Linked DNA regions of Coturnix japonica. The protein of the gene in region 1 interacts with the protein of each later gene in a pairwise test. Links are inferred from orthologs where the notes say so. Each region holds a gene or a part of one and is shown on either strand. Other genes may lie near its edges.

Region 1 (3,822 bases):
AAATTCAACCTCAGATTAAAATTAAGAGTTCCACCATTCTAGTTCCTCTCTGCTAACTGGAAAGAACAATGAAAAGCACCTTAATTTTTTGCATTTTAATAGAAGGAAATGAAGACACCACTCCAAAAAGTCCTTCAAGAGTAGCAGACAGTGGTGTTTGCTAGAGTGTTACGAACATCAGTTGATGGCACAGAACTTAAATTAAACAGGTACAGACAAATGCAGTTACGTGCTTCCTCAATATCTGTGCTTATCATAAGGAAAAAGACGCAGGGAGAATTCATCAGTTACTCTGCTATGCAAGCTTAAAGAATACACATACGACTTCTAAAAAGATACCTCACAAAAGGCATCTTTTCCCCTGAACCAAGACCCCTGGTGCATTACATGTCCATGATTACTGAGCATTCTTGTCTTCTCTTATCCTTCTTATGCAGCCTTTGCACGCTACCCACTGTCTTATTTCAGGGCACCCTGAAGCTTTTTCTAAGCCACATCTAGAGAGATAGAAATGTGAAGATATATTTGTCTTCTCTATTTCTACGTGCACGTTCTGATGCCATCTCCAAAATCTGCAGCTCAAGATTATGCAAGGTGGTTTCCCTGTATCGGGGAGATAATGGTGTGTGCATAGCACCAAAGTAATGTGACAGCTTTGCCTGTACCGTGTCTTTCAATATTGTTAAGTTTCTGACCTCCAAGGTTAGAATGCCCTCCAAAATATTCTGGTTCATCAGACTGCTCAACCAGTTTCATGAGACAGAGAAATCTCACGTGTTGTTGCATGCCACTGCAAGGATGGAGACCTTATATACCTACACGATTCACAAATAATCGTTTAAGAGATTATTTCAAACCTTGGGTTCATTTTCTGCTCCACTGAATCCTCCTGACAGCTGCAGGTTCATTTTAGAGAAGACTTGTGTAAGATTAGGTGCCATGTTATCTAGGAAAAAGCAGTATAAATATTTATGAGTATTAACCCAGTACTGGTGTATGTAGCAAAAATGATTTTAATTACAGTACAGCCCTTTTTATATTTAAAATGTTGATACATCTAAAGGAATAATTCTTTCTGTATGAGATAGCACTGTCACATACAAGGCATAACATGTCTGAACATGTCTCCAGTTATTTTATGTATTTTCATGTCAAAGGCATGGTTTCTGCTTGCATTGGTTTTAGGGATCAAAGATATTTGTGGCACAATGATAGACTCTAACTGCAATAGCCAAATTAATTTTTCAATTAGAAATATTTAGAAATAAAGTGCACCATAAGAAGGATCTGTGTCTGACTACTGAAGCTCCCATTGCAGAACGCTTTTAGTTCCTGAGTGGTTCATAATAGCTCTGAGATCAAATTTTCAAGCAGCATTCAAAAAAGTTCCAAGTGGAAAACAGCAGGTTGCGCTGTGATACTTTTTAACAGGCCAGTATGTTGTGGAGTTACAAAAATAGCTGTACACATACCATCCACTGTTATTTCCACAAAATCCTTTCAGAGATCTGATCCAAATTGTGATTCACTGCTAATTAATTTATGTTTCCTTTTGAACATGCTCTCCCCTCCTTCTCGTACCTGTCTTAGGCTACTTAATGCATTCAAAACATCCCACTGTATAACACCTGGTGACTTCCTCAACTGGTAATCTTACTAGCTTTACTTTTCCAGAAAGTCACTGGAAGATGTGCAAACATTAACTGTATATATTATGCTCTCACTAGTGTATGTAGGTGCCAGGAACTAAACCAGTTTTTGTTTGCTTGCTTATTTCTGTCCTCAGACCTTCTATTTTCTGCTTATTTTAACAGCTGTTCAGCAAATATCTGAGAAGAAATCCCAGAGAACTGGCATTCCTGAACTGGAATAGAGAGACATGAAGTCCAGCACATCTTCTCATTTCCTCTATTGAGGTCCCAAAGGTATGGCAGAAAGTGCTACAAGAACTGGTGTGGTCCTTTTAAATAACACATTAAATTTCAGGCAGCAGAGAATAAAAATAGCTTAACACTGAAACCCTAAGAGAAGAGAAACCTTGGCTTCCAGGAATAGAGTTCACTCTTCCAGTAAGTTCCCATGAGCTCACAGGTTCCTCAACACAATGACCTATACAGCAAAATAAGTTTGAGGTAAAGTCTCACACAAACAAATTAACAGTTCAGTTCAATGAACAGTCACAGTGATCTATTCCTTCCTCATATTTAAACAGAGCACTGAAAAAACCACGTTAGTTTCTAGTGAATGACTAACAAAGTGCACGGGATTTGCCAATTTTCACACATTTACATAAGAGCAGAAATCCTTCAGATCTTCTTGTGCAGAAAGCAGAAGACCTTTCCAGGTAAGACAGCAAGTTAAGTGCTTAGCATTAAACTAAATGTTAGAAATTGTTTACAGTAAATAAGTGTATATAAAATTAAATGTAAAACCAACAAAACTGAGTTTTGGAAAGTCTTACCATGGATACTGGGACTGACAAATCTGATTGAGGTCTCCTATTTTTGAGTGGAGGAAAGCACATGTTAAAATTATTTTACGTACATATATATTTCATAGTGGTTACAGAAAGACAGGCTTATAAACACCGAAGCTTTCTAAGTAGCAGGTAACAAAAATACTGAGTTCCTAAGAGCAGGAAACATAACGAAACTACAGAAGACTTTTTTCACTTACTGCAAATCTCATAGAGCTGCAAACAGCCTTTTTTTTTTTTTCATATGGATCAAGAGAAAGAGCAAATTTATTTTTTTTTTCCATTTCCAAATGATCTTTCATTATGGAGATAAATAGTTCAGTAATGATCAGACGAAACCTTAAAAATCTGCAATTCATGCCTCATTCTCTAGAAGGCCTTCTTACATCTCTCTCTCATATTTCTCCTCCTAATGTTATCTTGTTCTCCAATTGCACATGAGCAATAGTAGTTCTTCAGTCTAAACTATCTGATGCTATATGCAGCTGTATTTCTTATATGCAGAACAAATATTCTTGTCCCCTTACTAAATCAAGTGGAAAGGATTAGTGAAACAACAGAGAGCCAACCAAGTATGGTTTCAAAGTGAAGGCAAAGAAAAAACAAACCCCAGACTCTAAAACCCTTGTAGGCAGCGTGTGTTCCAGTGTACCTGAGGGGAATTGAATACTCTGATGTCTGCATTGTTAGATGGTGAAGATTCCTTGATTGGCAGAGTATTCTCCTGCTGAGGCAGAGACACTAAGAAGAGGAAAAAAGGAAAATGAGTGAGAGAAATCACATGCATTTTAGGTAAATCTCTTATCAACGTGCACGTTAGAGCAAATGCAGATCTATACTTAATGAAAGGTGTACTGAAATAGAAAATGACTTTGAAACACTCAAAGGAGGCACATGGGACTGGATCTCTTGGAAGTATTGAGTGCCCTCTCACCCATACAGAACATAGCTTTGCACTTCCCAGAATTTGATTGCCATTGCTAAAATAAGTGGAAGTAGAGCCTTTCCCCCAGTATGCTTATAGTCACTCCATGGGACATTAAGTGCAGCAGTGTCACACACTGCAGTACACCAATCACACATTTAATAATTAAAGTTATCACATATCAGACAAACACACAACTTGCTTTGCCTGCTTACTAGCAAGCAACTGCTTTGTAGCTGTATGCGTTTATGAATCATGGAGTGCCTTTTATAGGATAGTCATCTCAGTGCTACCCACATAGAAGCTGAAGAGTGTGGCACAACTATGAATTTTTAGTTTCTCAGCCAGTTCTGTGCGTGCTGGACTGCTCTGCGTGGCCTCAAACATTTGAGCACATTCCAAATGGGGGATAATGATGTAA
Region 2 (3,822 bases), on another chromosome or scaffold:
CTTTTTCATATCTTCACTATTAAGCTTCACATCCTTTAGTTTAGGTGCTGGGACTTGATCCTGGCCAATGAAAGACATAACCAAGACGTGTTTCTTAAGGATAACCACTTGAGGACAAGGAATTCCTGCATTCTGCATTCTGTGGATAAAGACAAATAAATATTGATAAATATTTATATAAATAAATATTTATATAAATAAATATCAAGAATAAAAATAAAGCAATAACAATTAAAAAAAAACACAATCTAGTTATGGCTTGTTCAGTTCAAAGCTGCATGCGAGAGATCTGACCCAGAAGTCACAGAATCACAGAATGACCCGGGTTGGAAGGGACCTCAAGGATCATGTAGTTCCAACCCCCTGCCTAGCAGGGCCACCAAACATACACATTTACTAGATCAGGTTGCCCAGGGCCCCGTCCAACCTGGCCTTGAACACCTCCAAGGACGGGGCATCCACAACCTCCCTGGGCAACCTGTTCCAGGGCCTAACCACTCTCCTAGTGAAGAACTTCCCCCCAACATCCAACTTAAATCTTCCCTCTTTCAACTTAAAACCATTTCCCCTTGTCCTGCTATTGTCAGCCCTTTCGAAGAGTTTACTCCCCTCCTGGGTGTAGGTTCCCTTCAGGTATTGAAAGGCTGCAATGAGGTCACCCCGCAACCTTCCCTTCTCCAGGCTGAAGTCTTTGACACAGAGGACTGTTAAGTGGTTACGTATTTCTACCCCTCTACATTTCACTTAGGACTCTAAAGTCTGAGTTATCCAAAATGTGCCTAAAAATGGTAATGGAAAACTAATTACTTATACAGCTAGAGGCTGCTAACTTCACAGGCTTATAAATTCAACTGCCAAATCCCTGAAGACGCTCTTAATTCATTAAACTGTAAGAAAACAGATGCTTATTCAGTCTATGCCAACAACAAATGTAGACTTCTACCCAAACACATTCTAACTTTCTAAAGCAGAGAGTAGGAAACCAACAAGCATTTAATAAAATAGACTGCTTATTTTTACCTTGTTAAGTTATGCATTTCTTTCTCAGCCCACATGCGAATAATCTTCCGCGGATTCAATTTACTGAAGCGGTCTTTGAACCTGTAGTCATCCTTGATGTATTTGTCACGGTTTTTGAATTCATTGAGAGTGGTTTTGAACACCTTAATGGCACATTCTGGAGGTATAACTTTATCATCTTCAGTTGCACTTCTCGTGGAAAAGAGTCAAGCACACAACAACATTCACTATTCACATCCTCGCAAGAAAACGTACATTTGCTTTATTGCTTTTTTGTTACTGTATCAAGCTTGAAAATCACTTTGAGTTACGTTTGTAAAGGCTGTTGAGCTTGAATATGAAATATTTGATTTTTGGAACTTTGATCATATGTTATCAACCTTCAAGTAGCCCAAGATCATCATGATGGCTTTCTAGCCCAGGGTAGGTCAGTGGGAACAGACCTTCACAGAACGCTACAGTTGACTTGTTCCTAACACATCTCCAGAGAAGAAAGTGGAAGGTTTGGGGTTTTTTGGCGCTATTTGGCTTGCAGAACTTATCACTGCATACATATGAACTAAAAGTTCAAGTCCTGGCAATGAAATAAACACAGATTGTTCAAATATGTTGAGCTTTCTCCTTTTTAGGCTCTCTCTAGCACTTCAGGCTACTGTCAGTAACAAACAACATACTTACTTTCCTCCATATGCATGAAAAACAACAGATTCTTTCCCCGTGCTGATGCAGCCTGTGATGGTCTCTAGCATTCCACCACTGACCATCTTGTACAGAAGTAAACGTGTTTTAGGATCCACTGCTTTCTCCTGCGGGTGAGAAATAAGTACATGAATTATTAAAATAACCCTTTGCTTTTACAATGAGTTTATAGTATTTATACACTATAGGTGCCTAACTGCATGGGAAAAATAGCATATTAAAAGTGCTCTCTCCATTGACAAGGTGGGGCCTAAGCCCTGGTCAAGCAGGGATACTTAGAGCAGGGTGACCAGGACTGCATTCAAGCAGCAGCTGAAGACCTCCAATGAGGACACTCCATAGCTTCTGGGCAACTTGTGCCAATGTCAGATGGAAATTCTTATGTTCCATTTACACACATTGCCTCTCATCCTGGCACTGGACACCACTGAAGAGAGCCTGGTCCCATCTTCTCTGAGTGCTCCCTTCTGGTATTTATATATCTGATGAGACACCCCCAAGCCTACTCTCCAGGCTGAACACTCCCAGCCCTCCCAGCCTTGCTTCACAGGAAAGATACTCCAGCCCCTTCATCATCTCAGTGGCCCACTGCTGGACTCAGTCCATGCCTCTCTTGTACTGCAGAGCTGAGAACTGGACCAGCACTCCAGTAGCAGCCTCACCAGCACTGAGTAGAGAGCAGGGATCACCTCTCTCAACCCACTGGCAATACCTTGCCTAAAGCAGCCCAGGATGCCATCAGCCTTCTTGACTGAAGGTCTGGGTGTGCTGACGACTGGGTGTGCTGCTGGCCCATGTTCACCTCACTGGCTACCAGGTCCTTTTCTGCTAGACTGCTTTCTACCAACTAGGTGGCCCCCAGCACACTTCTGGTTCCAGGAACTGTTCCAACCCAGTGCAGGACATGGCATCTCTCCTTGCTGAACTGTAGAACATTGCTGCCTGCCCACCTCTCCAGCTTGTCAAGATCCCTCTGAATTGCTGCACAATCCTGTAGCGAGCCAGCTACCTCCCCCAGACCTCCTAGACTCACATAATCCATTAATTTACTGTAGGTACACTCTGCTGCATGGTCTAGACTCAGATTATTCCTTAAGAGAACTTCCTATAGTGTTTTCAAGAACAATCCCAAATATCGCATTACTTTTGTATAAGCTACAGTAAAGTAAAACATCTAAGTCTGAAAGACTTCACAGCAGGAATTACCACAGGCACAGTTCCAGACTCATTAAAGCTATCTACTGACTTCCTAAGTTATTAAGGAAAAATTTATTAAGTCACCTCATCTTCCTGAAACTTGCTATGAGGACAGATGTTTGCACAGCCACATGCTTCAGGGTATTTGCTGGATGATTTCTATACACAATCTCTAGGCTCATTTAGCAGAGTTAAAGACAGGTTTAAAACAACCTCTTTTACTAAAAACAGTATTCATCAAGGAATTACCAAAACAGTATTTTACCATTACATAAGATAGAGAGGATAAAAAGACTTAAAAAAACATACTGCAGTGGAATGTTCTTTCTTTTCATGGAGCCTTGCACTTCGACGTTCCTCAGAGTATGCATGCTGCTTTAAGGCATTGAAGACTTGATTTGACAGCTTTAAGTCCATCCCAATTCCATCCCCAACTTGAAACTCCGGTGCAAACTACAAGTAGAGGTAACTGTTAGGTATTGGTACTAGCAGACAACAGTTGGCAAAAGCAGGAATTTCTCATTCTCATCTGCAAAAAATCTAAGGCAGATTAAGGCTTAAGGGATAACATGCTACAAAATGAGTTTCAAAGCATCAAAAATGTATTGCTCTGAGCTCAGAACTCAGAGTGAATCTTCCTAAGCTTTCACTTACATTTTCCATACGAGCAGTGTTCTTTCTTCCACAAACCACTTCATCGTGTTTAGTAGTAATGTCCTTTCCTTTCCCTATGAAACCCTTTTTTGGTGTAATAGTAGGTTTATCTGCCAGCATTAAGAAAAACATGTCAAACTTGACATCAAAGCAAACATCGCTAACGCTCATAAAGACTGGTTAGTACTACCACATACCTGCCCTATAAGGATCATGCCGAGTATCCTGCCAATCCACTTCATCCTCTGAGCT

What was found.
Region 2: the proteins of CASP10 (region 1) and RIOK3 interact in binary tests that used the Homo sapiens proteins (3 or more experiments, as listed by UniProt). The link is inferred for Coturnix japonica from reciprocal best matches to the Homo sapiens genes CASP10 and RIOK3.

What each region holds. Positions count from the first base shown.
Region 1 is NC_029522.1:9,912,530-9,916,351, reverse strand, and holds part of CASP10 (caspase-10), read right to left. Parts: exon of another isoform or gene 3,218-3,822; coding exon 3,129-3,217; exon of another isoform or gene 2,499-3,128; coding exon 2,462-2,498; exon of another isoform or gene 2,110-2,461; coding exon 2,038-2,109; exon of another isoform or gene 1,815-2,037; intron 947-1,814; coding exon 858-946; intron 1-857. UniProt on the Homo sapiens protein: Involved in the activation cascade of caspases responsible for apoptosis execution. Recruited to both Fas- and TNFR-1 receptors in a FADD dependent manner. May participate in the granzyme B apoptotic pathways.
Region 2 is NC_029517.1:92,943,277-92,947,098, reverse strand, and holds part of RIOK3 (serine/threonine-protein kinase RIO3), read right to left. Parts: coding exon 3,768-3,822; intron 3,681-3,767; coding exon 3,571-3,680; intron 3,370-3,570; coding exon 3,226-3,369; intron 1,827-3,225; coding exon 1,699-1,826; intron 1,213-1,698; coding exon 1,021-1,212; intron 140-1,020; coding exon 1-139.